Lytechinus pictus: one gene and its partner. The protein of the gene in region 1 binds, or shares a complex with, the protein of each later gene. Links are inferred from orthologs where the notes say so. Each region holds a gene or a part of one and is shown on either strand. Other genes may lie near its edges.

What was found.
Region 2: the proteins of methylmalonyl-CoA mutase, mitochondrial-like (region 1) and methylmalonic aciduria type A homolog, mitochondrial-like are in contact, whole or in part, in a crystal structure (PDB 8GJU), measured with the Homo sapiens proteins. The link is inferred for Lytechinus pictus from reciprocal best matches to the Homo sapiens genes MMUT and MMAA. Residues at the interface, in NP_000246.2 of Homo sapiens: Lys496, Glu609, Arg610, Glu611, Gly612, Arg613, Arg614, Arg616, Ala635, Thr636, Ala639, Asp640, Gly642, Phe643, Asp644, Val645, Asp646, Ile647, Gly648, Pro649, Leu650, Phe651, Gln652, Glu656, Gln659, Gln660, Val662, Asp663, Ala664, Asp665; in NP_001362573.1 of Homo sapiens: Arg98, Ala99, Ala102, Glu103, Thr106, Glu109, Ser110, Thr111, His112, Ser182, Ser186, Gly187, Gly188, Ser189, Leu190, Leu191, Lys194, Thr195, Met197, Thr198, Ser201, Arg202, Met204, Tyr207, Ile208, Arg209, Pro210, Ser211, Pro212, Arg214.

The regions. Positions count from the first base shown.
Region 1 is NC_087257.1:22,373,717-22,390,130, forward strand, and holds the start of methylmalonyl-CoA mutase, mitochondrial-like, read left to right. Parts: upstream 1-9,120; 5' UTR 9,121-9,612; intron 9,613-13,869; 5' UTR 13,870-13,879; coding exon 13,880-13,945; intron 13,946-14,432; coding exon 14,433-14,564; intron 14,565-15,678; coding exon 15,679-15,810; intron 15,811-16,414. UniProt on the Homo sapiens protein: Catalyzes the reversible isomerization of methylmalonyl-CoA (MMCoA) (generated from branched-chain amino acid metabolism and degradation of dietary odd chain fatty acids and cholesterol) to succinyl-CoA (3-carboxypropionyl-CoA), a key intermediate of the tricarboxylic acid cycle.
Region 2 is NW_026974141.1:16,225,176-16,240,869, reverse strand, and holds the start of methylmalonic aciduria type A homolog, mitochondrial-like, read right to left. Parts: upstream 8,185-15,694; 5' UTR 8,058-8,184; intron 7,961-8,057; exon of another isoform or gene 7,885-7,960; intron 4,741-7,884; exon of another isoform or gene 4,058-4,740; 5' UTR 3,949-4,057; intron 459-3,948; 5' UTR 414-458; coding exon 1-413. UniProt on the Homo sapiens protein: GTPase, binds and hydrolyzes GTP. Involved in intracellular vitamin B12 metabolism, mediates the transport of cobalamin (Cbl) into mitochondria for the final steps of adenosylcobalamin (AdoCbl) synthesis.

The DNA of each region.
Region 1 (16,414 bases):
ACTTAAAATGTTCTTGTTCCTTCTTGTGACAGGAGCCAATAGTTACTTGTCATCGTTTGTTGACAAGTTGAGTACCATCATGTGTGTGTGTGTTTGCGAAAGAAAGAGAGACAGAGAGAGAGTCTGTAATATGCATTATATGTGCAGACACTACTTTTCCTTTACAAAAATTAGAATATGAATGAATTTTCAATCATGACTGCATATGTAACTTTGTTGATTTTTCATGTGAATTTAAGTCATTCAGATTTTAGAGAATGTCTTGAATATTTTCCTGAATACTTTTACTGTTTTTTAGCACAATTTTTTTTCTTCATATTTTGGATTCAAGGGTAGTTATTTGTACTTTTTGTATGTGTAATTTATTTTTTTACCAAGACTGCTCTGGTTAAATATTTTAGTAACTACATGTATAAAACAAATGTGAAAAAGTGCTTATGAAGGTAATTTGATGTGTATGTATTTGATCATGCATCCCTTTTGCATTGCATTGCCATGATATAATATTCAATATTTCAATTACCTGAAAATTAATAAAGGAATATTTTGGAAGATATTTTTGTATTTTTTCCCCAAAATGTAGCAACATGATGCCAAAACTCTTATAAATTCTGGGGTTCTTGAATTAGCTAACCAGTACTAAAGTGCTGTTTAGCTAATTCAAGAATTCTTATATTTTAGACAATTTCTAATTGTTATCCTTTTTCTATCTGAAGGTTTGTTTGTGTGGAGAAGTATATAAAGTTCACATTATATTACAGTACTTCAAATGTTGTTACAGTATCAAGGTATTAATGATAGTATAGCTGAATTATTCATCAATGGAAAGCAAATCAGCACATGTTCATGTAGGGCACATGATATTCTTGAGTGACAATCCAATCCATAGAGTATCTGGTATAATCTTTTTTCTTGTTTACCTTTTTTACCCAATTTTACAGCAAATCCCTCCACTTTTTTTAATTATTATTGCTAAAGTCAGATGGCATCAGTTTTGATGGGGAATGGATTTTTATTTGCTGACCCCAGACTTTGTAAAAGGCAGTAAAATACCTGTAATAGAGACATCTTTGGGGGGAAGCAAACTCTGTGTACAATCAAGAAATTCTTCGGCAAAGCATGCTAAGCCTTGTGCATGGACCTACTAGGTCCATGCCTTATGCAACTCTCAGGCCAGGAAAAGTGAGATATTGACTCTGCCATGATGCAATTTCCAGTGCATAACATCTGCTGGTAATAAATCTCATTCTACTCTGGGTGATTTATATCCAAATGGTGTAAAATTCTGAAACACAAAATAGTCTGTCTTTAGTGCAGTTACCTTTGATGTCCTGTCTGGACCCCAGCCATCTGTCTCAAATCCATTACATGTACACCATGTCAAGGGGAAAACCTTCCCATTGGAAACTGGGTATTTTCAAGTATGGTGTTGAAATCTGGTGTTAATGTGGTTTTAACACCAACTCCAGCCACAACACCATATTGAAATGAGGCTGGTTCTTGGCTTGTCCTTGGAAAACTTTGACAGATTTCCGGCAGAAAAGGAATTGTAATTCCAGGTTCAGTGTAAGTGTTTATTTTTTTATATGATTTGTTGTGTAATTGATTCATTGAAGTTATTACTTTGGTTATTTATTGAGGAAAGTTTTCATTCTTGCCGAACCATTTTATGCTTAAAATGATATGTTTATTTGTGCCTTCGGTACTATTTTGCTTATGAAACAAACTTTATAATGTTTTTGTTGTTGCTCATGTAGTAATTATTATATTGATAATACCTTATTTTTATGTGAAAATATTTATTTTTTCAGGTCTATACATTTCTTGATGAGCTCTGTTCTTGAAATTGGTCAACTTAAATTTGTAAGAAATACTAGATGCAGAGAACAAGTACTCAAGAAAAGTGTCAAGGTTGAATTAATATGATGTGAATTGTCTGTTTGATATCTTTCTGTGTATCTTTATCTATCTCACTCTCTTGCTCTCTTTATTTCCATTTTACCACTACTAAATATTGGTTGCACTGTTAAAACATTCCACTCAATTATTGTGATGTGTTTTTTTTTCTTTGCATTATTTTTATCCTTTTTTTCCACCACAATTTACTTCTGTTTTTTTTTCTTGATTCTTTGTTCTTCTCCTCCACCTCCTTATCCTTCTTCTCCATCATTATCTTTATCATCATCTTTTCCTGCCCCCTTCTGCTCTCTCTCTCTCTCTCTTCTTTGCTCTTTTCCCCTCCCCTGTTTCTTTTTTTCCTTCCACCTTATTTTGTTCTCAAATTTCATGCATTTGATTTATATTGTTTATTAGAACGCTCTTTTGCGAGCAGTGGTTGTGAATGAACTAGAGTTATGACAATAGTCTTTAATACAAAATATCATTATTTGCCCTTTGATTTATGTATTATTTTCATTTGTTGTGTATCTTTTAATTATTTTTCTCTGATTCCATTTTTGTCTCGCCTGCATAGCAGAGCAAATATTTTCCGACAGCGGCGTTGTCAACATTGAAATCTTAACCAAGGTTAGATTTTTTAAATGTCATCATAACTTTGAAAATTTAAGGATCTAGTTCATGAAACTTAGACATGAGAGCAATTAAGTATCTCTGAAGATCCTGTGCAAGTTTCAGATCGCATGATCAAGGTCAAAGGTCATTTAGGTTCAAGAACTGATAATGTTGGGGGTATTTTTGAAATTGCCATCATAACTTTAAAAGTTTATGGGTCTAGTTCATTAAACTTGGACTGAAGAGTAACCATGTATCCCTGAATATCCTGTACGCGTTTCAGGTCACATAACCAAGATCAAAGGTCAATTAACTTTGGCCGTGTCGGGGGTATTTGTTGAATTGGCATCATAACTTTAAAAGTTTATGGATCTACACATGTAGTTCATGAAACATAGACATAAGGGTAACCAAGTATGTTTTGCACATGTCTTAGGTCACATGATCATGGTCAAAGGTCATGTTGGGTCAATGGACGTAGTATTTTATTATCATATGAGTGTTTTCTTTTGTGAATGATAGCTGTTTTCAAAGTCAGCACTGCTGCTATGTCGAATCGCGTAATGCAGGCGAGACTGCCAGAGGCGTTCCACTTATTTAATCTTTTCCTTTGCTGCTGTCTTCTATATTTACTAAGAAATATATACTTCAAATTGTTATGATTTGATTTATAATGCAAACAAATAAACTAGCAAGTTTGCACCAAACCTTGTTTGTCTTTTCATTTATGATGGTTGAATGTGTGTGTGCCATTTTTAAGTAATTCTATATTGACTTTATGAAAAACTATTGTGAAAAAGTACACTTTACTAAATGTGTTATATTTTTTCCAGGCTTGCAACAGTATTTCATTGTATTATCATTGGTGCTCTTCTTATTTTCACATTCCCATTTTCCTTGTGAATCAACTTTGGTTGAGAATGTCTATTATTATGTAAAATATTAATGTATTAATCAAAATGACATGTACTTTGTTGTATATTTATGCAACTTTGTTTTTATCTTAGCTTCAGATATGTGTTCCATGTTTTATTTCTACAAATGCTATTGTGTTTTTTTTTCTTGATAGCAAGTTTGCATTGAGAAGCCATCAGTAAATATCAATTATTGATGTGAAATATATTTCTTAGTCTTTTAAACCGTTGTTGCAATTGATATCTGTTCATATGTGAATATTTCACTTATTTTGTCTGAAAAATTAATTTTATCATTTATATGTTCATACTGATGTATTGATATGGAAATAAGCATTGGAAATAATTTTGATGTGCAATTATTTCAATCATTTTGCCTGAAATATCACTTTTATAATACAAACAATACTGATGTATTGACATTAAAATCAACATTGTAAATGATTTCTAACAAAAAATATCTCAATTTGATTCTCTACCAAAATAATTTGATAGAGAAAATCGGAAAATTATTTTTTGACATTTCTAGTTTTTCTTTTCAATTTTATCTCATACATTTAGCTTTATAAAAATTATCTGCAGTCTTCTGTGTTTCTTTCCAATGTCAATGATTACTTGAGAATCCCCTTATTTTTTATTTATCAGTATTTATCAGAAATTCCATTCACAAGTTTCTATTTCAAACAACAAGTTTACAGGCTGAAATTGATGATAAATCATCTGAAAACTGACCAATGCTGATGTATTTTAGTTTTAAAACACTTATTTAATTATTATGTGCCATTATCCACTTTCTTGGCATTCTATTTCATTGAATTTTCAAGTGTTAAATAATAGAACAACCATTGTATGTCTGGATAGCCACCTTCCCTTTTTTCTAAATTTAACAAAGTATATCCTTTGCAAAAGTCAGGTATTTCCATTTCTCGATATTAAGGATCTTCAGATTTCACAACCTCATTCATGATGCAGAATTTCCTCTTCCTTAATGCTGCGCTCTCTCTAATTTATGAGGAGTAAGGCTGATAGTGATTGTGAATGAGAAATCCGAAGCTCCTTATTGACATTGTTAAACATTTTTGTAAAGTTCTAAAAATTAGCTGTATTGTCAGGTATGAAGTCAAGGCCAAAAGTTCCGTCACTAAAGAAGATCAACGTTTTTTGGTAGGTTTGTACATTTGACCTCGGCCAACGAAAGCAAAAGGTGGCCTGCTTCGACGTCATACCTGGATATACAGCCTGTCCAGACGTACATCTCAGTACATGTTTTGTATTGAACCAATTGTGCCTTACTATGGGTGTGTCTAGTCCATGGTCTAGTCCATCTTACTATGCCATGCCAATGGACCTTGTTTCTTAAACTTATCGATAGCATTTGCTTGTAAAACTATGACACCAAAGGATACTATACCATTTCCTTAAAAAGAAAGAGTACATGTAGCTCGTAACTTGCCGTTAGTAATTAATATTATCACATTGTCTTCATGTGTACCTTTCCCAGCTAAGATATGTGTGATGCATGAAGTAAGGCTACCATACTACATTTAGTACGTCTTTTTCTGAAGACTAGACACACCCCATATCATATGAATACTTCCAGAGTGCTTATCCCCTGTCTTCACAATCTCACCATGCCCCCCCCCCCCCTTCTCTCTCTCACCCTCTCCCTCTCTCTCTATCTGTCTCTCAATCTCTGATATTTGGTGGGGTTTATTTTTCTTTTTTCAGAAGTCAATAGAAACTGCATTTGGTGTTGGATTTTTTTTTCAGTGAATCATTTGCTGAAATTACTATATCAAGAAGGAGAGAAGGCCATGGATCCAGTATTCATCATCTTCACCAGTGTCATGCAGTCATGTCAAATTTGTGTGTCCATTTGCGGATCAATCGAGAAGTGCTTTGCAGTCATTTGTTGGGTTTTCTTCCTGGTCTGCCTTTGATTCTTTGTAGTGTTTCTTGATTTTTACCATTCTGTTTAAGTGTCAAGCCCGTTTCGTCTTCAAATATCTTGCCAGAGTGTTGGTGACTACTCAAGTGGAGCACATCTGTGTTTACCGGTATGTTCCATGGTCAAGAGACTGTTTTCATCTTTAACATGGTATAAGTTTGAAAAATTCTGATTGAAGAATGGATGGAGAAACCCTGGACAAATCTGTTCACAACTCATCCTGGTTGCTTGAATTCTCTTTTTTTTAATGTGCTTTAGTGTCTGCCATGCATGCAAACTTAAACAAATTTTGTGTTGATTGAAAAGCTGCTGATATTTGAGATGGTCTTTTTCTTCATTACAGGGATGATTCTTGTGTGCAGGATGACAGGCTTCCGTGATCCTAGATTCAATATATTTAGCAAAGATTTTAAAGCATTGTGATCCACATTTTAGTTGGCTACATTGTTTGCAGGAATATTCTCTCAGCGTATATCCTTTATCATAGCTCATCCTTCAACCAGCTTGGAATCTGAATAGAAGTAGTCCCCTTTAACTCAGGACAATCTATTTTTTTGTTCAATCCTAATCTCTTCCCCTTCCTCCCCTTTCGCATTCATACTGTCATAAGTGCACCCATTCCTTCATTTTCTTGACATTGCTATTCATTTCCGTTTCAGTTGATTAGGGGTAACCTTTCATGATGCTTTGCTGACAGAAGTGATGTTAGTGGCTAATCAATTGATCACTGGTTCTATAGTTGTATGTCGTCCTTGTCTTATTTGGGAAGGTTATTATCTGATATTCTTGGTGTAAAGTTTATCCCCAATTCACAAAGGCTCTTGGGTAACAATTCAAGTTTTCATGTGGTCTTCCATTTTGTTTTGTTGTCCATTCTGAAGAAAATATTTTGTCATTGGATTCTACTGTGATAAGCTCCAGAAATCACTTTGAGAATATCCACCACATGTTCCGACTCCTCTTTCTCTCCTGCCTCTCTGGAAGTATTCATGATTAACAAATTATATTCATGTCTGTTGAGTAATTTGCCACATTGTTAGAATGTAGGCCTTCAAGGTGTATGAATGTGCTCTGTTCTTACAAACAAGATTCAATCATTTGTGTTTCACAGTTTGTTGAAAATAAAATGTTATGGGGGTTGGGTCCTGTTTATAATCTCAATGATAGATCGTTTTGATATGCCTATTCTAGTACTACACAATGGTACAATCTTTTCATTTGAATCTCTTGACTGGTAAGGATTGGAGCACTTTCATAACCCTACTTTATTATTGACATAAATGAATGAAACACCTTGCATTCAAATCGTGTGTGATTTTTATACCTTGTGAATTTTTATAAACTCACTCTTTGCTAAATGTTCATGTTTATTTTTTTATGAAACAAAAATAATATTAAAAAAATAATTGAATAAAAGAATGAAAATCCTGAAAAAGTGTTTCCATGTGATGATTATTGTTTAGTAGGTTTTTTTTTTATTTTCATTTTTAGTTTTTTCTGTTAACTGTAGATATGAAATTATTACCCAGTATAAAAGTAAAACAATGAAGAGCAATTCTGTTATTTGTTTGTTTAACTGGGCAGTAGTATCATATTGAGAGTTCACAAACAGAAAGCCTTAATTGATAAAAAAAGGTAAAAATTTTAGAAAATGATGAAACCAGTTCGAGATGCAGTGAAAGGTTATTTTTCTTTTTATGGAATAGGAACTTAAAATTGAATTCATAGTTTGGCTTTATGGTTTTAATAGGTATCACTGATTATTTTCGTACCAAAAAGTCTGAGAACTGTCAAAAATTGACTTCTGTCCCCATTGCTAACCTTTGATATGAGTGAAAGTGATCATGAGATTAAGGGTTTCATAACTATAACAGATGTTCTGAATTCGACTATGGAAAGCCATTAGTCCCAATATTTATTTGCTAGTAGGGCATTTTCACATTCCCTTGAGAGGAGCACACTAAGGCCCATATTTTGAAGTCGGGTTCAACTTAGACCATGGTCTAACTCGGCTAAAATTATGGGAAGCCAAACGTTTCAAAATTTTGTTTTACAGTGAATGCTTCTCATGTTAACTGCTCTTCACGGATTAATGGTGAAGATATTTGTCTTATCCCTCCCAGGCAGTTGATAATGTTTAGGGAGTCAAATCAGCTGATACATTGAACCTCTACTGTTAGAGATTTATGTTACAACTGGCTTTCCATAAATAGTTAAACCGCAACTTGAAACCAGAGTTTAAATTAAACCCGACTTCAGAATACGGGCCTAAGGGTGTATCTAGGATTCCATGTATGAGGTTGAAATGACGAATGAGAGGACCAAAAAAATGAATTGATAAGAATTTTGTGGCAAGCAATGAAAAAAATTAAAGTGATGAAAAAAATGAGCAGCGCTGCTTTAAAATTTGTCGGGTCAGACAAGACAAAGAGAAACATGAATTCATCAATATAGGCGCAATTTGGAGCAAGATCTATAACATGCAGAGGAGAGGGGCAGTTACTTCCCCCCCCCCCCCATGACCATGGACAATAATAGGGCACGTGCCCATGCCTCCGCCCCCCCCCCTCCCATATGCTCCTTGAGCAAGTTCAAAGGTCAAAGTGAAGATGTAATCTCTTGAGAGCAAAGTTCCTTATGATTAAGCTTTCAGCATTTGAGATTGATTTTGAATGATTTCATAGGACAATTTTTCACAAAACTACAACTTACATATATTATAAATGAGCAATGATTTATAAAATTCAGAGAAAGTAAGTTCCAAGAGATCATCACTTCAGTGAATATGTATTAATGATCACTTTGCACCACTCCAAGACGATGTACAAATCCCCCAAATGCTCACACTTTTTAAAAACATGATGGCATTAAAGGAGAAGTTCACCCTAACAAAAAGTCTATTGTAAAAATAGCAGAAAAAAAATAATGGATATTGCCGAAGGTTTGAGAAAAGTTAGAAAATTAAATTTTTGATTTGTGACATAATATTCGCGAGCAGCTTGTAAAAATCAATGAAATTTCGTTTTCTCAGAACATAGAAAATGGTTTTTACTGTACCTTCAGTACAATGGACAAATCATTTCACATCCGTTCCTAAAAAAGAAAACATAAATAAGTCATCACGAACCATTAAAAATTGAAATTTATGTATTTTATATTACATAAAATATGGGCAGCTGCTGGTTTATCTTGTCACAAATCCAAAACCTGAAATTCTAATAACATTCTTAATATTTAATGGATTTTCTCAATGCTTTACCAATATCTTTCATTATTATTTTTTTTCTGTTCTATTTTTATCAGTTTTCGTCAGAGCGAACTTCCCTTTTAATGAAAGTCGCCAATAAAATGTATCAAAAGGAACTTTGAAAGGACAAAGGAGTTACAACACACTTCTTAGTCCAGGCTCGGGGCTTATCCATTTAGTATATTTGCTGTTTGGTCTTTGACACTTAACTTTTTCAAATTGTAATATTAATTTTCTAAATGCTGGTCTAATCATTTTATATATTTTGTCCCCCAAAAATAGTTGATTCATAATTGAGTTCATCTTATCATATAGACTAAGCGGTTGATAGACCAAGTCGACAATTAGACGAAATGGTAAATGAACTGAACGGTAATTACCCGGTAGACAAAATGTGAAGTAATGAAGTATAAGAAGCGGGTGCAGACCAAGTAGCAATTTAGCAAACGAAACTGATTAAAGGTTGCTAATAACCTTTCCCAGATTTTTCCTCAACATTTATTCTGGAAGATACCGTACAAGCTCGAAGGTTAATTTTGTCTTCCTTGGAGAAAAAAACTGTGGTAAATAAGTCTATTATTTTGTAAGTTAAGCAAAAATTTAATGAGATCTGTGTTTTCATTAGACATTTCATGTAATGAATAGAGTAATGTGTGCTTAGAGGTGGGATTTTCTGTGTAGAAATTATAGAAATTGATTGTGACGCAATCGGTACTCTCAAGCGATGTGAAGCCGAAGGGACTGCTGACCTGTTTGATCGGGTAAGGACCTATTTTGTACGGGAGACCGCTGGCGTAGGACGGTTACACCGTTTCGCTGCTGGTACTACTTGTTGCATTAACCGATGTTGAGTCAACTTCAGGCTGGATTGATCCGGGGATCGGGTACCTCGGGCGATGTTCGTGCAGGCTCCACTTCACTACCGCTACACTCCGCTCCACCTACCCGAACATCGGGACCGTGAACCATTTCGGATATACCGAGTCACAAAGGTGGGATGGCAATCATGATAATCGTAAAAAATTTTTAAAAAAATATAACGAAAAAGATGATTGACTTAATTAATATCTTACTCTACACCCGTATTTCACTCCGTTTCCATCCTCTGGTTATCCTCAAAATTGGTGATTTTGGGCCAGTATCTTTTCCCTCACACGTACCCACTCATCCTACGAACAAGGTTATTCGTTCTCGTGTGTATACACTAGCATGGCCAAAAAAAGCATCGACTATTTTCCTCCTCTTCCCTCACCCAAACATGACCTTATCGAACTAGATCAAGTGTGATACAAATTGACATAAATTTATATAACAAATATGATCTAATTGCTGAAAATAATATGAAAAATGACTAAAAACTCACCGATTTTTCCACCTCCGGTGACCTTCTTCTTCTTCTTCTTATGTTGGTTTGAGTGGCGATTAGTCATATTTGACTATTGTCGCCATTGACTCTATTAATAAAAAATCTCACTTCTCACATAATGATATTATTACCAATATGATGTATACATATATGAAATATTATTCTTGTGTATCCTTCTAATATGAAAAAGGATAATTATGGTATGTACAAAAGTTTGTTGTAACTCTTGTCAAAATGGCATATAAACAAATCTTCACCAAAAACAAACCGCTATCTTCAGCTCAGTTCCAACTAGTTGCGCTTGCCCTGCCCTTTCAAAGATGCAATCATACCGGTCAGCACGGACCGTCACTACTCTTGGTTCGTTCAATGGTGTTTGATCGTGACAAATCGAAAAAGAAAAAAATATCACGAAGCCATAGACTAGAGGTTCATCCACCCGGATGGATGAAACACTACTCGTGATGCATTCTGGTAAACATGTCTCGATAGCCTCTACAGATTGGCAATTTTGTTTCGTCTAGATAAACATGTTTAAAGAATAAAAAAGTCCAAAAACTCCAAATGGCTATTTTGGGGGGCTTATCTATAATATTTCTAGTACTGTATCCAGAGCATCATTTGTCTGTTTTCCTCTTCCCTTACCCTTTCTTTCTTTTTTCTTTTGAGCGTAAATTAATTCTTTTGATTTTTTATTTCTTACTTTTTTCTCAGTCTTTGTTCTTTGGTTTTTTTTTTCTTTATTTCTTAAGGGGAACTCTCCCCTCCTCCTGAAATTTAAGGGGTATTGAATGTGTATACCCCCCCCCCCCTCCGCCGCCTGTGACAACAATAATTCTTGTGTAAAAAAAAAATAGTGAACAAAATATTGAGTGTCAGGCAGTGGCGTACCCAGGATTTTTCAAAGGGGGGGGGCAAATTCGTCCGCCAAAAAATTTGGGAAAAAAAAAAAAAAAAAAGGTCTTCAAGTTCAAAAGAGGGGGCCACTTGTGGCTCGTCACAGGGATCAGTTGTGACTCGTCAGGGGGGCAGGGGTACGTCCCTTGCATGATTTGTGACTCGTCAGGGGGTGCAGTGTGCCCTCCCTGCCCCTTAGGTACGTTAGTGGTGTCGGGTGAGAAAAAGACTACAGTCCCCGGATCGCGGAGCTTCCTATTATTATGCTTCACCGGAAACAGGTAGGAGCTTATTGTAACCAGCTCTGTGGTTGCCACTGTTCAGTGGCTAGCTTTCTTTTATTCAGCACAAGAGGGCGTGCTGAAATACTTACGTAGGAGACTATGTTTACGCCGCCATCTTGTTTCCTATTGTTCTTCCCCAACGTTACAGACGCGGCCCGGGGGGGGGGGCCACTTCCATTGACGAGTGGATACCATGCACGACCATGAGATCTCAAAAAGCACCCTAAACACGTATTTTCCATCTGAAAATGCACCCCTTAACAAGTATTGGCATGTGAAACCCTCCCTTAACAAGTATTGGAAACAAAACGATACTGTAACAGTAAATTTTACTGGGTCTATGTATTCAATCTGTACTCTTACATTTGGCTTTCCATACTTTATTGTTTACATACAACTTGTTTATTTCCATTCCAACTCATCTCATCCTTCTTTCCATCCCCACAATCCACATACATTGTCATGATCTCATCTTTCATTCCATCTCCACAATACATCTCACATAGCAACACAGGTTCATTGCATTTCATTCTTTCATTCAGTTTCCCCTCAGTCATGCTTCCTGGTTTTCCATTAGCTTGCCACTCTACATGGTCTTATTGTTTAATTCTCATTAGGATTCAGTTTAACTCATGATCACCCTTCTCTATTCTCTGATTGGTTCTTATTTTTAAATAGGGTTAGTTCATTTTATAGTTCATACCATTTTCCTTGTATTTGATTGGTTGATTTCTATGATTATCCAATGTGGGTACAATGGCAGAACTTCCCAGAAGATTAGATTGGAAAGTAAAGTCAGTGCTGATCTGGACTTCATCGTGTTAAGTTCTAATTTATTCTGCGTTCACCCTATCTTCAGTTTAATAATTTTAGTTTAATTAAAGTAAGGAGAGCTTTGGAGATTGAATTTACAGGAGAGCATAGGAGACTGAAGTGCAAGAGTTTATGATTTTAGAGTGTACAAACGGTCATGTTACAATACTATTGGCAAGTATTCCCTGAATTGAACCCCTAAACAAGTACAGCGATATTTCAATTGTTATGTCACGGACGTCGGTATTACCTTTACCTACATCATTGACAGCCCAACCCGCAGCCCCACGCGTGCAAATCGTACTCTAAACACGTATAGTGTTGACTGCATGGGGCAAAAAGTACATCCTTTATAAAACATTTTAGTCTTGATTTTTTATACCCTCGCAAATTTGACCCTAAACACGTAGCTTTCATATCGAAAATAGATACCCTTTTTTCATTATTTTAGTGTTTTTGACACCCTTATTACGTTACGTACGTAATATGCCCTATCTTGAAAAAGACACCCATTTTACATGTTTTTTGGGTCGCGCATAGCCAGGCGGCTTCTAGAGAGTAAAAATAATTTACTAACGTAAGGTTACTCTCATACGAAGCCAGGCATTCCTCCCCATTCATCTGCGTGTACCGCAAAAAACCCTGAAACTTTCGCCCCCGAGATTTCTACTTTGCTTCTAAAAGATCTAGCTCTAAATCATGTACATGGGATAAAACTTCATTTCCGACATTTCTACGCTCTCGTTGTTATTTTGAAAACAAGAATTCATCAAAAAAATGAAAAAATATTATGAAAAGACGGAAGAGACTTGCCCGATGTTTACGCCGCCATCTTGTTTCTTATTGTACTTCCCCAACGTTACGCGACGCTCGCGTCCGTAACTCTGTCATCTTTTTTATCTTGACTTTTGTCATGGAAAGCAGTTGTGCAATACTGTGGACTAATCACTATGTTAGACAATCAAAACACCGCTTTTTTTTTCAATTTGCTGGCTTGCTGACTAGTCCAATGATTGCACAGTAGTGGTTCATGCCTTCATCATAGTCAGATGGTAGCGTGACCATCGGCAGTTACTAAAAACAAATTTGGGGTCGAGCATTTTACAAAGAAAAGTCAGGTTTTTATTACAATTTGGTTATACTAGTAATTTGCAAAATGATTACTATGATAGTTTTACAATTCAATTTTACCATCTGTCAGTGGGAAATGGTTTTCCAGAAATTCCACACCTTGTTTACTAGTAGTAGTTGCAGATATTCCTCAATCTTTGCAATTGATAAAATTTTGTAATATTTGAATTTATTAGCCATTTTCAGGAGCTGAAATGAGGGTAAAAAGTAGAGTGTAAAAAGATAAAAGTAAAAACTGCATAAAATGTCAGCTAATCTATTCAATTTGCTCACCAATTATTTTGTCATGCACTAGTAAAAATATTATATAACCTCTAAGTTAATTTCAGTCAGTGAACACTGGGAATAGATGGGACGGGCTCTATTTCGGCCTTAATGCTGGTGTCTCTCGGTCTCAGAAAGGCTCTTATGTGTCTTCGCTGGACTTTCACAATGATCTTTCTAGCATTTTGAAAGTTTGCTCAGCAAAGACTAAGACCAACAATTAAGTGATGATGTCAACATGAACAAAAAAATATAGCTGCAAAGTATTTATGATGTTGGATCTGAAGCAGGGGAAAAATTACACAGGGCTTGGGCGATTTAAGCCCCTAAAATGCTCAAAAGATTCTTTAAAAAGTGTGCTTGAAAATTTAATGCTAAAGCTTATCCAAAGTTGGGAAAAATAATAGCCCCCGAAAGTGAAAAAAAAATTGGGGGGGCTGATCTGAAGTCACAAAACCAATCTACATTTGTACTCTCCTTTAATTGTCATACAGGTAACCAAGAATGTGGAAGTTAAGACCAGCCCTGGCTCAAACTGCCCGATGGCATTCAGCTCAACTTCTTCATAAGGTAATGCTTAGGAATATGAAAGCTGTGTGCAAAGCTGTGTCAATTCAGGCAGAAAAGTGTCAGTGTAATATGCCTTGAAACAGGCACATCCTGAGACAGTGATCGTGTGTCCTTTGTGTCAGTCTCAGATGCTTAAAGGGAAATGTACCTTGGCAGGCACAGTTCTAGACTAAAAGTCTGCCCGTTTGTTTTTCTTTTTGCTGGTTGGGGTGGAGGGGGGTCGTGGGTAGCAATCAGAGTCAGAGATCAGTGCTTTATAAATTATATTGATTTAAGACCAAATATATCAGTAAATTTAAATTTGTCAGAGCTGATAGGTCATCATTGTAAACAGCTTTCATGAAATGGTTCCCAAATTTCTATGTCAGTAATTTGATAACATTTTTTTTTGCTGTACCCAGCTCTTTATGATGAGCTCCACTACAACCAGGAATTCCTTTCCTTCTCTCTCTCTTGATTATATATTTTTTTTGTACTGTTATTTTAGGCTGGAATACCAAGGGTAACATGTGTGAGCTGTATTCACAGAGAACCACTGAATGAAGAATGGACTAAGCTTGCCGAGAAACAGTTAAGGGGAGCCGACCCCAAGGAGAAACTCACATGGCATTCTCCAGAGGTAAGCTCTTACGCATTCAGGGGCCCATTACACAGAGTTTAGCAATTCATCATAAGAGTTGAATTTTAATTGTACATAATGATCAATGTAATCAAGAATAAAATACTTCCCTATGATCAACTGCTTAAAGCTAAATGATAGTAGTTGCAGTAAACACTGATTTCGTGAGAAAGTCTGTAAAACCAAGGTTAAGTATTACTATATCAACGTGGATCTAGATCTGGTACAGTTACATAAACTGAACTCTGTGAAATCATAAAATCTAAGCTGAAAAACGATCACACTGAAGATCGCCAACACAGATAGGCATATGTAGGACAGTATATTATTATTGCTGGAATAAAGACCCGACGGAAGTGCCCGAATCCGCACTTATTTTGCTTATTTCTCAGCAATTACACAATTTCTTCCAGGATCCTTTGGCACATATTTTTTATTCATACAAACAGACACTTGGGTGGTCATTATATTGGATTTTGTAAAAAGTCATTTTGAGATCGTTACCACAACTGGCATTTACCTTTAACTTTGAGTTACAGGGCCCAGAAAAAACAATTCATCAGCTCCTGTTCTTCAAATTGGCAACATCAGTGATTTTCTCTAACCCCATTCAGGGGCCTGGGGCCCGTAACACAAAGTAAAGCAATCATCGTAGAACAATATCTTTACCATTGATTGCATTGACTAAAATGTACAATCAATCGTACGATCAATCTCTAATCTTTGTGTTACAGGACCTTGGTACTCAAAGCTTCACGATTGATAATAGAGTTGGTTTCTATGTTCGATCTTACATAATAATCAGTGTATTCAAGTGTAAAAATCCGCCCTACGATCAACCGCTAAGCTTTGTGTTACAGCCTTACAGGGCCCAGAAAAATAAATAATTTGTGTCTTTAATTTATCAGCTTCTCTTCTGGAAATTGGGAACATCAGTGTTTTTTCTGTATTGATGCATAATTCTGTATAATATTCATGCAGCTGCAGTAAATCAATATTTACGTAAATAACAGTTTTGGAAGTTCCGTTTTGATTGACTATTTTCCGAGATGAATTAAAATGACGTCATGTCATCAAATATTCAAATACTGAATCCATATTTCCATGTGAACAGGGTATTTCTCTGAAGCCTCTCTTCACGCAGCAAGACACCGCAGAGCATCCTGATGACTTACCAGGCAAATACCCCTATACCAGAGGACCTTATCCTACTATGTATGCACAGAGACCATGGACGATTAGACAGGTATGGTCCTTGATTTGATGAGGTTGTTCTTGGGTATGTTTAAAGAGAGGGATAATTTCACTTTACAGAGAGAAATATAGATTTAGTCAGCATCAAAATATTTAATGTTCTTGAGGCTAATTGTAATTTATCCGATTGGTGCTTGCTTTAGAGTCCGTTTAGGAATCATGTTTATATTGTGGGCTTGAAGATATTCCCTGACACACATCACAGGGCTGCAAAAAAAAAGAAGTATAAATAGGAAAAAGAAGTAGTTGGATTAGGAGAGAGATAGTGGCAGAAGTAGTGTTTGTAGTGGTGGTGGCGGTTGTGGCAGAGGCAGAGGCTGCGACCTACAAGTAATAGATTTAATGCTGGTGGTAGTCGTAGAGAAGGAGAAGTGTTAGGAGTACGAGTATGAATGTTTGTTCAGGTTAGAATAGTGATAGTTGTAAAAGCAATAACAAATCCTGTTGGAGTGATGTATTTCAAGAATCGCTGTTCATGATTCACTGGTGATGATATTTTTACCATTACACTGACCAACAGGATTAAAGTGATTTCAAGAATAAAACTTTTCAAAATATATTTCATTACATAAATGATATTAAGTAGTAGATAAATA
Region 2 (15,694 bases), on another chromosome or scaffold:
ATTAACTCATGAAGATGATCTCCTGATGATCCTAAAAGATGTTGTGTAGATTTCTCTTGGAAGCTTTTGACGCATGATGAAGAGAATCGACACTGCACTGAGTGAGGGACTAAAAATAAAACTGAGGATTGAAAGTTTTTCCTTGCATTTAATAGTTCTTGGTGAAATGGAAGTGAAGTTGAGAAGTCTCTTCTTGGTATACAGAAAGATGGTCCGTTCAAGGGATTCACATTACTTTCATTTATGAGACCTTGATGCACTCGGTCAAGAGAATCACTTTGAATAGTCTGAACACATCTTACAGTGCTAGAGGATTGCAGGACACTGTTTCTGAGATTTATCTGGCAAGAACGACAGATTGCAGCCATTTTCCAATGATCTATGGATTTCAGCCTCTGGAACAAAGCCCTCATTACGAGACAGATTATGCTTCTTTGTTGATTAATCAATCAGGAAACCTGACAAAAGGAAAAAAAATAATATAAAATATAAAGTAGATGGATTCTTGACTACACAGTCGAAATATATGCCTTTGCCATTGCAAGACGCATGAACATATAACAATAACTTGTGACGTTTAAATAAAGAACCCCCCCTCCCATAATCACATCAAAGTCACACCCAAAATAAGCCAAGTTTATCCCTCAAACTGTGAACACAAAAATACAAACTCATGAACAGAAACATCTCTGTGACATTTTACAGCGGAGTCTAATAAAATCTGCTGTCACATATGAGACTTGAGACAAGTTCGAAGGTGTATCATCAAGGGTTTAAATTCAGGTGTATGATGACCCCTGTAACATTTGACTTCATGACCCTAAAATCAAATCAGATTTTCATAGACTTTTACCATAAAATCATATATATATATATATATATTTTTTTTAGATTGTCATAATAAAAAAGCAATTTAGAACTAACTCAGGGAGGTGGGAGCTTGATTTGCCTTTATAGCTATGTTGGTGGTCCCCCAATTAATTATGAACATGGCATCACTGGGACTGAGCATGCTACACAGTGTTTCCACTTGAGTTGATTTTCCAAAATTTGATCCAGGGAATCCAGATTATCTTTGGGAAATTTGAAGGAAATAATAAAAATTCAAGGATTTAAATTCTGGAGAATTTAAACATTTAGACTATCACAAAAATAATCAAATGTAAGGCCCAAGTTTCAAAATTCATATTATTTGCCTAATTATGATTGCTCTCAAATAAATTATCTCATGCTCCACACAGGCATCTGATTTTGTCCCCAAATAAAGACAGAATTAGGAACACTCATAAATGCAAGTGACACGAATGCGACCGCGAAGCGGGCCAAAGCTCTCTGGGTTAAGTTGTTGCATGCTTTTAGACTGCAGAGAAAAAATGAGGCTGACAAATTAATGTACATTACATTGTCAGACCTAGATCTAATTAAGTTTAATTAACATTCTATCATTCACCGCATCCACCGACTCCACAACACCCGTTATTTAAAACTTAATGTGCTAAAGTTTATGTTCCCGATATTGTATTGATCTAATTTAGAGTAATATTTAGCCCATATAGTTCTACTACTACTAGGCCCTACTAGCTTCAAAATGAGAATCTGAGATATTCTTACAAAGTTATATCTTACTCAATAAATTTGGTCAAGGTGCTGTGATGTAGCAACAATTTATCCATGGCACCATGCGGAAAACTGTTCATCCTCCACCCTTCTTGCATACCCAACTTAAGAAATGCGACCAATAAAAGCCATAAGAATTGAAAAGGCGATTTGTAAACTACAATAAGGGCAGGCTACTGCCTAGCCTATTGCCAATTGGGATGAATGAGGTGTTAAATGAAAGGTCTTGATGAGCTATAATTGATGCTATGTCTAGTCTATGAAGCAAACACCATTTCTGAGATTTATTTTTTGTAACATACCATAGGCCTACTATTTTTGTGGGTACTATTTGCTTATACTGGTTGTTGAAGTTGGCATTGGTGCTTGTGATGAAGCAAACCAGGCCAGTCCCGCGTGCGCCGCGCCTAGTCAGGAGGCTGCTAGAGAGTAAAAATCATTTACTAACGTATGCTTACTCTCCATGGAGAAAGGGATTGCGTCCCATTCATGTGCGTGTACCGCAAAAAAAAACTGAAACTTTCACCCTCAAGATTTCTACTTTCCTTCTAAAAGATCTAGCCCTAAATCATGTAAATGGGATACATCTTCATTTCTACGATATTGATTTCATTTTTAAACAATAATTCATAATAAAAACGAGAAAAATATTATGAAAAGACGGGGAAAACTTGCGCGATGTTTACGTTGCCATCTCGTTTCTTTTTGTTCTTCGCAGTTACAGACGTGAAGAACGAAAAGAAACAAGAGGGCGACGTAAACATCGCGCAAGTTTCCCCCGTATTTTCATATTTTTCTCATCGTGCTTTACCAGTGACATCGATTTTGCGAAAATAATCCGAGAGAAACGTTCCACTATTGTCTTTGTTAAAAAAACGAAAAGTTCTCTCCTTCTACCCCAGTCTCGATCGGCCATTTTGTTACGATTTTAAAAAAAAATGGCCGATCGAGACGGGGGTAGAAGGAGAGAACTTTTCGTTTTTTTGAGGTTCCAGTCTGTGCCCAGATGTCAGGAAACTGCCACTCGTTAGACCTTCATCCATATAATCGTGGTAATTGTATACTTTCTGTTTTCACAATTCATTTGGAGAAATATTTAGACCATAAATCACCCTAGTCCTGTGAGTATGGTCAAATACACGGTAAAGTTCTCTCCTTCTACCCCAGTCTTGATCGGCCATTTTGTTACGAATTTTAACAAAAATGGCCGATCGAGACGGGGGTAGAAGGAGAGAACTTTTCGTTTTTTTGAGGTTCCAGTCTGTGCCCAGATGTCAGGAAACTGCCACTCGTTAGACCTTCATCCATATAATCGTGGTAATTGTATACTTTCTGTTTTCACAATTCATTTGGAGAAATATTTAGACCATAAATCACCCTAGTCCCGTGAGTATGGTCAAATACACGGTAAGCCCCTGGGTTTTTCCCTGGGTTAGCTGCAGGCGAATCTTTTGGTGAGTGATTGTATTACCGAACGCACGCATCAGAAAATAAATTCATACGCTCAAAATTTCGCAACATCCTTCCAAAGAGAACCTGAATAGAAATTGATGAAAAATGGTCAAAAACACATTTTCAAAGTCTTAATATTCTAACAATAATAAAATATGGTCAAAACAAGGAGATATCACTCTAAATAGCTCATAAGTATTTTTGTTGTTTTCTCAACTTTTCCCATTGAAAACACACGTTCGGTAATACGATACCTTTTTCAAGTGACCAAAATACTTCACGTTCGAAGAGGGGTCCGATTAGGAGCTAAGTAATATCGTAAAAAGGAAAAACGATTTCGGCAAAATTTTCACATATTTATATTTTGTAGGCCTCGGTAGGAATTGTGTATTTATGTTAAAAGTTTGGTGAATTTTATGAGAATAATGTGTTTGATATGATTGAATTCATGAAAAGTGTTCGTTAATACGATCCACTACTATACATGATTTAGAGCTAGGGCCTAGGCCCCTAGATCTTTTTTTTTACTATTTTAGAAGGAAATTAGAAATCTCTGGCGAGTCTGGGGCGAAAGTTTCAGGTTTTTTTGCGGTACACGCAGATGAATAGGGAGAACTGCCTGGCTTCGTTTAGAGTAAGCCTACGTTAGTAAATGATTTTTACTCTCAAGAGCCGCCTGGCTAAGCCTAAGTTCACCGTCCCGAAGTTCGGGTAGGTAGCGGTAGTGAAGTGGAGCCTGCACGAACTTCGCCCGAGGTACCGGTAACTCTCTAGGAGCCTCTGGTGCCTCCTGGCTAGCCGGGCCGCCGCGGCGGAGCTGCACTGCACTGCACCGTACAAATACTACAACGTTTACAGTTTAGTCGATATGTTACTTACGACAAGCGTAACGTCTGAGTAGACTAACTTGTTAGGGCAAAAATGTTGATGAATTTCAACAAGCTTCTCTTGAATTTAAAGCATCTGACTTCGACCTGACTTCCTCATGCTAAAGTAAAGTTTTCCAGGAACCACAAAACAGATCTAACGAGTAACGTTAGTTTTCTCCATAGCTGATGCAAAGAACGTACCGGGTACCGGGTACGAATCAGGGACAACTCGGACCACGGGACAACTCGGACCGTGGGCCGAGTTGTCTCACCCGTTTCGTGATTTTTTTCCCACAAATTTGCGTCTATTTTCCCGTCATTTCGAAATTTCTTGTAAATCTTTTCTAGAGATATGGTCTGATGGTAATGTTCTTCACTTTCTATTACTTTTTTTTCGCTGAAATAAATAAAAAAGTGTAATTTTAGGCGTTTTTCGACAGCTCGCGATTCCCATAGGCGCACGTGTATTAACTATGTAGGTGCTCGGCTCGGCCCCGCTCAACAACTGACTTGATTTTGTGATCATTTCTCCTCAAGTTACCACTTTTATCGCAGAAGATGGACTTTCTTGTATTCCATTAACTCCATTTTCTCATCAAAAGGATAAAATTTGGAGTATTTGCACGATTTTCCTAAAGTTTTTCACCTTTTCTCTCTGGTCGTAAGAAGCGAACAACCGATGAACGGTCCGCTGCTCTTCATCGCAATTCTACGTAGCTCGGCCGCCTGAACTGGCGGGGTGGGATTCAGCCCGAATCCCCAATGGAAGTGGGCGTGCACTGTCAAAGAGCTGAGCTTGACTGAGTGAGAGAGTGAACTACAGCTTGAAGCTTGGCAGTGTCGTATAGGCTCTGCCTTTTTTTTTGTAAATATGTATATATATTTTTTTATTTTTTCTATATTGATTTTCCCTGGTGTAGAGCTTTAAGATTGTAATAATTTAATATGCTTTAATTTCTTTGACTGAGTATGACTGTGGTGTGGATGTTTGAGTCGCACAAAAAATACTTTTACGTGGGTGGGGGCTCGGGGCGATTTCACTCCTGCCCCCGAAATGTGAAAAAATATTCGCGTTGTAAATGTGTTGGCATGCCGGGCTGAGGGTAGCCATCAATAAAAAAAAATTATTTTGGGGGCTTAATTTTTTAATCAAATTGATTACTTTTAGGCCTTTATATATTTTTTTAAATTTAATTTTTGTTTTTTTATATTGAGTTTAAGTTGCAATAATTAATATGCTTCAATTTCTTTGACTCTGAGTGTGACTGTGGTATGGATGTTTGAGTCGCACAAAATATACTTTAACGTGGGTGGGGGCTCGGGGCGATTTCACTCCTGCCCCCGAAATGTGAAAAAATATTTGGGGTGTAGCTGTGTGGGCATGCCGGAATGAGGGTAGCCATCAGTAAAAAAATGTTTTATTTGGGGGCTTAATTTTTAATTAAATTAATTATTACTTATTTTTATTTTTTACAGGATTTAAAATAAATTGATGTAATTCATTGTGCCATTCCTTGTTTTTCCCTGATTTACTTTCTTTAATTTTATTTCTTGGTAAGGGTGGATGTCAGGCTGCCAGGGTGGAATTCAGCCGGAATTGCCAATGGAAGTGGATGTACTTGCACAGTCGTGAGCTTGGAGACTGAAGCCTTGCCCTGCAGTTGTGAATATTTTTTTCAATCAAGTTTTAGGGCCACTCGGTCTTATTCCCATCTGAAATATAATCAAGGGCGGATCCAAAATTTCCCTACAGGGCCGGAGGGCATTTTGTATAGGAATTTTTTGACAAAAGGTCTTCACTACCAAATCATAATTTTTTCCCAGGAAAAATTTGACAAGCAGTTGCCTTTTGAGTACCTCTCAAGGGGGGGGGGGGGGGCGGAATGTGCCCCCCCCCCCCGATTTGCCACTGGAACTAATGTCCATTTCATTTAGTTTGTAATTTTTTACAGGAGGAAAGAATAGAGTTAGAAGTTTTGTGTTTTGTATCTTTACCAATTATTGTTTATTCAATATAAAATGTATTTAATTTAGTATTGTTCCAAAATGCATCACTTAATCACTTAATTAACTTGTTTAAATTTTAAATGTAAACCTGAATAAAAATGAATTGTGAACTTTGAATAAATAGAAATATACATGTATATGTTATATTCTGTAAATTGTAATATTTTATTTCCATTCTTATCTTATCATTGTCTCCCTTTCTCATTATGTTCATCACTCTCATTTCAATTAAATTTATATTCTATTACTGGTATAAAAAAAGACAATACTAAACACTGATACATCGATCAATAGAAAAAACAAAGAAAACGAGGGAAAATACAAAGAAATGACAGGTACATGGAAGGGGGGGGGGGGGTAGCAACAAATCATGCTTGTCTGGGTTTTAAAAACAGGAGAAGGGTGGTCAATACGATATTGCAAAGAGCAACTATGAAGAGGGTTTTGTTTTTATCAAATAATTTTTCCAGTTCCTTTGGAGTGATGTTGTTTTTGTTTTTCTTTGAATAGAATATCACCCATTCTAGAAAACTGAAATCTGTATCTAACACTAAGTTGCCCTAGTGTTGTTTTCCAATCTATACACAACAAAAAAAGTAAGTCCCCCCTTAAACAATTTTCCGAAGAAATTGCACTTTACACATATTACAAATTAATCTGTTAAATCTTGTCCATAAACTTACATCTACTTTACAGTAAATTTACAAGATGTATCGTAAACGTCTCCTTTCAATAATGATCTTCACTACAATTACGGACAACGTCAGTAAATTTATCATTAACCTGATTTTTCTGTAAATTCTACAAAGTTTCCGTAGAAATTGCACTTTATCTGTTAAATCTTGTCCGTAAACTTACAGCTACTTTCTAGTAAATTTACAAAGATTTGTACCGTAAACCACTAAACTTGACAAGAAAAAAAAGTGTTTTCAAAAATATAAGGTCATTTAGTCCTAAATACATGTATTATTTCGATTGTGAATGATGTATTTGTTCTCCATTATTCAAGAAGAAAAATAGTAGGGTGGACATTTGATATTGTGTCCCCCTTACTATTTTTGGTAGGGGGACACGTCCCCCCCCCCCCTGGGATTTCCTCCCATGATCATCCCCATCCCTCACATCCTCGTCGCTCTCACCATCTCCATGCACCCCTCTCATCAAAGATCCTCATCCCTCTCACCATCGCCATCCCTCACCTCCTCCTCCCTCTCGTCATCTCCAAAACTCAGCTCTCTACACCAGGGAAACTCAATATAAAAATGAAATTTATATAAAAATTAAATAGGCCTAAAAATAATTATAGTTCCATTAAAAAAGTAAGACCCAATGAAACATTTTTTTTATTGATGGCTACCCTCAGCACGGCCCAGCATGCCCACACAGCTACACCCCAAATATTTTTTCACATTTCGGGGGCAGGAGTGAACCGCCCCGAGCCCCCACCCACGTAAAAGTATTTTTTGTGCGACTCAAACATCCACACCACAGTCACACTCAGTCAAAGAAATTAAAGCATATTAAATTATTACAATCTTAATTAAAGCTCTACACCAGGGAAAATCAATATAGAAAAAATAAAAATGTATATATATATCTACACAAAAAAAGGCAGAGCCTATAGAGGCTATACGACACTGCCAAGCTTCAAGCTGTAGTTCACTCTCTCACTCAGTCAAGCTCAGCTCTTTGACAGTGCACGCCCACTTCCATTGGGGATTCGGGCTGAATCCCACCCCGCCAGTTCAGGCGGCCGAGCTACGTAGAATTGCGATGAAGAGCAGCGGACCGTTCATCGGTTGTTCGCTTCTTACGACCAGAGAGAAAAGGTGAAAAACTTTAGGAAAATCGTGCAAATACTCCAAATTTTATCCTTTTGATGAGAAAATGGAGTTAATGGAATACAAGAAAGTCCATCTTCTGCGATAAAAGTGGTAACTTGAGGAGAAATGATCACAAAATCAAGTCAGTTGTTGAGCGGGGCCGAGCCGAGCACCTACACAGTTAATACACGCGCGCCTATGGGAATCGCGAGCTGTCGAAAAACGCCTAAAATTACACTTTTTTATTTATTTCAGCGAAAAAAAAGTAATAGAAAGTGAAGAACATTACCATCAGACCATATCTCTAGAAAAGATTTACAAGAAATTTCGAAATGACGGAAAAATAGACGCAAATTTGTGAAAAAAAATTATCGTAATCGGTGGGACAACTCGGCCCGCGGTCCGAGATGTCCCGTGGTCCGAGTTGTCCCGACCCCCCGGGGAAGTACGGTATACCGGTACGTCTTTATAGCTTTAATTATGTGCAAAGGCTAGCGCTGGCGCTAGTTAGTTCACGTATACTAGTCTTCAGGCACAGACCCTTAGAGGATCCTAAAACCTACTTCTCCTGTTCTGCTCTTTCCACAGCTGTATACATTGCTGATATTCAATATCTGTTGAATAGAGACAAATGGTATACAGAGACCCATTTACCATGATTGAAACTTTGATCAACAAGTGTGTCTCCACGCAAAGACTATAACATACCTTGTAACATACCTTGTTGTGGGCGTAAAGTTTTACCTAAAAAACTTGTTTGCCCCTCTCCTCCTTCCAATTTCTTGATTTCATGAAGTCATTATAGTGGAAGATAAACTGGTACAGGTTATATGGCGATGTGTGGTTTCAGCAGGTAACGTTATTAATGGGAACATGGGCAAGTAAAGGATTGGTCAGGGTTAAACTTTTCCTTTTTGAGGTTCCAAGATTTCTCTAAGTTTGATTTGAAAGAGTTTATGGAAGTACTCTTCACAACTTGATTTGGCAGGTTGTTCCACTCTGATACTACTCGGTGTGAGAAAGAATTTTGTCTTTTTCGAGTATTTGCTCTGGGTTTCTCAATCTTATATATATGTCCTCTAGTTCTGGAGTCTTCATTGAATTTGAAGAATTTAGAAGTCTCTAGATCGTCAGTTCCTTGAGTTATTCGGAATACTTGGACAAGATCTGCTCTGTGACGTCGGTAAGATAATGAAGGTAACTTCAATTGGGCCAATCTTTCCGGGTAGCTTTTGACCTGTAAACTTGGAACTGCTTTTGTAGCTCTTCGTTGAACTCTCTCGAGTTTCTCCTGATCCTTCTTCAAGTATGGATGCCAAATCTGTGAACAATACTCCAAAGCAGGTCGAACTATGGACTTATAAAGTAGTTTGAAGCTCTTAGGTTCAAGGAATGAGAAAGATCTCTTGATGATCCCCATCTTCTTATTTCCTGCTTTTGCTATCTGATCTATGTGTTGAGAAAAACTTAGCTGATCGTCGAAAATGACACCCAAGTCCTTTTCACTGTGGCTGACTTCGATGGTCGGGCCATCCAAACTTAACTTATAGTCATAGTGCAGGTTCTTTCTGCCATAGTGAAGGACTTTACATTTTCCTGTATTGAAGGGAAGTTGCCATAAGATTGCCCAACTTTGAATCCTCAGTAAATCAGCTTGAAGGATTTCCCATTCTTGATCGTTGTTAACTTCAGCAAATAATTTGGTATCGTCAGCAAATAACTTGATAACACTTGCTTGAGAAGCTAGGACATCTGGTAAATCATTTATGAAAATCAGAAATAGCTCCGGACCGATAACACTCCCTTGGGGAATTCCACTACTGACTCTAACAGAATTTGAGAAAACTCCATTAACAACCACCCGTTGCTCTCTGTTCTTTAAGAAGGATCTGATCCAATTCAAGACACTACCTCTGATTCCATATGAATGAAGCTTAAGCAGAAGTCTTCGATGGGGGACGCTATCAAATGCTTTTTTGTAGTCCAAATATATACAGTCAATTGATTTTCCTTTATCCAAATCCTTTATACCGCATCTACTGGAAAAATGCAGTTGTTCCTAGCTGCAGTCAAGTTTCCAGGTCTATCTTGTTGTTCTCCTATCTTGTTGTCTTCCTAGCTTGTTGTCTTCCTAGCTTGGATAAGTTCGAAAACTGAGTCTGTGCTATTTGTGCAATGTGCTGTGCCAATTAATGTATTGGAATGAAATAGGCACTATTCCCATGCGTGAACATAATGCCACGCAGACCAGAACTTGTCTAACTTTGTCTTGAAGCCATTGATTGTTGATGCTGTGACTACCTCAGTAGGCAAAGAGTTCCAGTCATTAACCACTCTAACACTGAAGGTGTTTTGTCTCACTGCCAGTCTACTCCTTTTCAAAAATAGCTTGTAAGGGTGGCCACGCGTTGCTTGAGTGGTAGCTGATGTGAAGAATAGGTCTCTATTCACATCATCAATGCCATAAATTATTTTATAGGTTTGTATCATGTCTCCTCTGCGCAGTCTGTACTTGATGGAGGGTAATTTCATTTCACGCAGCCTTCTGCCATAGTCCATTTCTTTCAGGGCTGGTACTAGCTTGGTCGCTCGTCGCTGGACTTTCTCAATAGCCTTCAAGTCAGAAGCATATCTTGGGTACCATATTCCATTCGCATATTCAAGAATTGGTCTCACGAGTGACTTGTACAACCTTTTGATGTTTTCTTTGTCTCTATGCAAGAAAGTGCGTCGAATCATAGCAAGCACACGATTAGCTTTCAAGACTGCGTTGGCTACTTGGGAATGGAATTTCAGTTGAGAGTCCATAATGACTCCCAAGTCTTTTTCCTCTGAAACTTCCTCCAGCACATCTCCATCTAGATGATACTGATGATGGGTATTCTGATGACCTAGATGGAGGGATCTGCACTTCGTTGTATTAAACTGGAGCTGCCACTTCTTGGACCACTCAGCTAAGTTGTCTAAGTCAGCTTGTAGCCTGTCATAGTCATCTTCCATTCTGATCTCTCTGAAGAGTTTGGTGCATGTCGTCAGCGTATATCTTTACGATACTGCTTACTACCTCAGGGAGATCGTTGATGAATACCACAAAAACTGTCGGTCCGAGGACACTACCCTGAGGCACTCCACTTCTAACAGGTAACCACTGTGAAGTTTTTCCATTCACGACGACTCTCTGCCTCCGATGGGTCAAGAAGCTGTAAAGCCATTTCCCCAGACTACCTGTTATACCATAGGATCTGAGTTTGTTCATCAGTCGTTCATGGGGCACAGAATCGAAAGCTTTACAGAAATCAAGGTAGATGGTATCAACTTCACATCCTTCATCAAGAGAGGCAGTCCACAATTCCATGACTTCAAGCAGTTGTGTGACACAAGACCTTCCTGGTAGAAATCCGTGTTGTGCATCACACAATAAGTCATTCTGAATAAGTTGATTGAGAATGGCATCACGCACAACAGATTCCATGATCTTTCCGATAACTGAAGTCAGGCTTATTGGTCTGTAGTTTTCAACAGCATCCTTCTTTCCTTTCTTATGTATTGGAAAATGTACATACAAAACTTTCCGTTTTTAGAGAGGGCCTTCAGTGCACAACGCATTATGAGTAGGCTGCACATTCAGACCCTTGACTCGAGTGAAGGGTTTGCACAGCAGACTACCTGCAACCACGGGCCTACTACCGTACATCTATAATATTCAACGTATGCCCGTTTGGAGAACTTCATCAAATTCATATTTAGAAATTAATAGGGAATCTACATTAATTTCAGACCTTAATTTCTTATTTTCAAGAGAAATTCAGGGTTGTATGTTGATGTTGTCAGTATTGTCATTATCCTGCACCAGTACACATGTGGTCTACGAACTAATAGTCAACACCCAGGGACACCCAGTGATGAAAGATGGTGCTATCTCACAATCTACCCTCCCGGTCTACCCTCACCCGGCCCAGCATCCGAACTATGGACTAGACCATTCGAGATGCGACCAAACAGGGAATCAGCCAGAGACTGACATAAATCTCGATAAAGCCGAGTAGTCAACACCATTTCGATATCTATCATCACTATATAGGCGAATACTAGGCCAATCTAGTGCAGATCCCATTGCCGCATAATTTGATCATCCGCGCATACAGTCGACAGACTGATGAAGAAAATACTGACAACAGTGTAACAGACTACTAGTACCATGTAGGTCTAAAATTAAGATAAAATTATTATTTCTAAATATTTGGGGAAGTTCTCCATTTGGGTTGAATACAACTGCAACAAATGTAATTGTTAAAAATGTTGTTTAAAGATTACATTCTGCCATAACGTTTATCACACCCAAAAACCAAGAAAACATCTCACCCCTTCTCTATCGATCTCACTATAATATAAGCCCCACCCCTCATCTCCAATGTCAACGTCCCCTCATTTGATCATCTTTCCTTTCTATTACCATCTTTATCATATTGTTCTCTATCCCTAACTCCTGTGTTTTTTCTCTCTTCTCCCTGTGTGTCAGTATCCCTCAACAACTCTCCTGGATCCCCTCCTACTCTCTCTGTCAATCTCTCTCCCATATCCACCCCCCCTCTGATCCATGTAAAAACGTAAGCATAAAGGATACAGCGGACAATCAAAATTTCGGGGTGGCCCATATCCGCTTTCATCCGCTCCAGAAATGGACAAATTTGGCAAAAAATGAAATCACAGTGGACGGATGCTCGACGGATACAGAGCGTATGAAACTAAGGCGTATGCAAAGAGTATCTGCGGATCCATTTCTTTCTCAATCTCCTCCCCTTCTAGTTCTCCACCTCTCCCAAATCTCTCTCCCTTCATATATTTCTATTCCCCTCTTCTTAAAAAAGTAGAATATAGCAATACACCAATATACTGCCGGATACAAAACCTGTTGATATTAACATTCATCTAATACATGTTTATTTCATGTAATGTTGAGAGATAATGTGTACATAATTATAATCTTTAAAAAGATTGATATTCTGTTCATAAACATCTGTTTCATCAAATGATCCATCATGCAAACACTAAAGCACAGTATATCAAAACAATTATTGTTATTATTATCATTGTAAAAGTATGAATAGACTCTAGGCAATGATATAACTAGCTTTCACAAGAAATAACGTTTGAACTTTCTAAAAGTCATTCAATATAATAAAGGCGCAGTCATCTGTATAGATGGACTATGGGGAGACATTCCATTTCAATATTGATGATAAAGGTGAATTACTAATTATTTGAACTGTGCAGAAGTTACTCTTTTGCATGTCCCTGGGAAAAAGGGAAAATAAATAAATTGAAAGAAACTTTAACTGCATTGAAATGTTATAACTATTGATATGAAATACACATGACTTACTCTCCTAACATAGTCCTTTAACACCATGGACCCTATATGTAACAATCCAAATAAACACCATTGATACAATACAGCAACATGTATAAGTTCTCTCAAAACCATCAGACAAACCTAATGAAATATACATCTGTCATTCCTTCAAAATGATATCCATCTTTCAACATAGCCAATGAATAAACAATTCACTAATTACAATTGACTTCCAATTTGCCATCAAATTTACGTTCAATATGAATGTATGTATCATGATTTCACAACCACAATTAATAGTTTATTTCTTTTATATAAATCCAAATTGTAATAAAACAAACATTAAATGTGACCATGTACATCTATGGGATAAACCAATGATGCTTTCACAAAGAACCCATTTTCTCTTTACAATGAACTAACCTTAAGTTTGTCAATGTTCATGAATTTTTCCTGACCCCACTCCGTGCCCAAATTTTTGTTTTATATTCATTTTAGATTTATAAAGTGCTAACAATTCATCACTATAACATATTTCTAACTTAGAAATGATTTCATTCCATTTTCAGCCTTATGACCCAAAATTTAGGTAGGCCATGATTCTATGTTGTGTTTTGTGGGAGTGGGTGAGGGGCGGGGGGGGGGGGATAGTAAAGCTGTCATTGATTCTCAGCCAGTTACAGGATTTCAAAGTCAGTGCTTTCATGGAACACCCCTGGTGAAATAATCATTGCTGGCTAATGGCTTTCAAAGAGCTGTTTGTATGGCTTTACAAATGACTAGGGATATTCTTAAGTGCTTCCTCAAATTCTTATTCATTCTATACACACAAAAAAAGTAAGTCCCCCCTAAATCGAATTGCTGTAACTTTTGAACGGAAATATTTTGAGATGTGATATTTCGTAGGTGGTTTTCTTCACTCATTAAGCAACTCCTGGTGAAAAATGAGATTGATCGGTTGAGCCATGCATGATTAATTAAAGATTGATTTAAAAATGACCATTTTTGAAAGTCACAAGAGTATTTTTTCAGATTGTGCAAATACAAAGTTGGGCAAAAGTTGTTTTTAGGTGAATTTTATGGTGTTATGCTGTTTTACTATCCATCATTTAGCCACTCCACACACAATTTTGATATCGTATGTTCATGGTTGAGTGAGCACAATGTATTGCAGGGGCCCCGGAAGCGGGGGGGGGGGGGGGGGGGGACTTGAGCCCCCTCCCCCCCACTTTTTTCCAAAAGCATGTACAAAAATGTAAAAATGACCATACGATTGTGATTTTTTGCATGGTCAGCCCCCCACTTTGTAAACCGTTCCGCGGCCCCTGTATTGTGACATATCATCATAGGGGTTTATGGTAGTATCCTCTACAACTTGTTAGATCATGTTAAAATTTGAAAATGTTGGTGTCTCCCCCGATTATAGGCCCTCCCCCATTTTAAAATTCTGGATCCACCACTGATTTGTCCATAAATTAAACTGATCATGAGAAATTGTTAGGAAAAGAATACATTTATGCAGTATAAAGAGTATTCATTCCTAAGTTTTCGAATGTGCTCGCTCAACCATGAAAATGTTTAAAGTTCGGAAAGTGTGTGGTGATAGAAATGATGGATGATAAAAACAGCAGCAATTAAAGTCACATTTGAAACCGAATTTGCCCCCAATATTAACTTTATTACCCTTTAAAATGAGTCTGTGACATTGAAAATACAAATTTTCCCACTTTGATGCGTGCTCACTCATCCATAACTAAACAAATCGATTTCATTTTTGCACAGAATTCTGCCCATACATGTAGGTTGATAAACATTACTGCCAAATGACATTGCTAAAGACAGCCTTGAAAAAAAGTTCCACCATATTGAATAAGGGGTTACTTATTCTTAAACATATGCACCCATAATGTACACAAGTCTATGAGAGAGGAAGTCAAAATTTTAACAAATATGAAATGAGGGTTTGTTTCATGGACGGTTTTTGTTACTTCTGCCAACAGTTATTTCATGAAACTTCGCACATGGCCTCAGAATAACACTATCCAAAAGGCGCGCACACCAAAATAACCATTCAATACGGCACAGAGTGGGGCCAAGGCCTTGAACTTTCTTCTCATTTGCATAATTTTCGAATATTGTGTGCTCACTGATGTATTAAACATCGGGATTTTCATAAAAATCAAATCAAATGAACTATGCAAGGAGGTTTTTGAAAGATATCCATAGTTACAAATTGCATTTTTTCCAATAACGTAAAAAAGAGCTAATCACATTCCACATGTTCATTCAAGCGTGAATGTTTAATTAAACGCCTTTGAATCATTGACGGATGTTAATTTGTCATGAAAATAACGAAAAAGTTGAGGAAAGATCATTTTCAGTTACCAAAATGAAACATTACACGCCTATGATATTTGAAAATCGTGTTTTATGTTTTCAAAAAATGTTCATGGAACCGTGAAACGATGAATATTGTTGAAGATACTCTTCCCAAAAATACCTGTCATAATATTCTATCATTTTTATTAATAGAAATGTGTAAACAATCCAATTATAGCAAATTTTGACTTGTG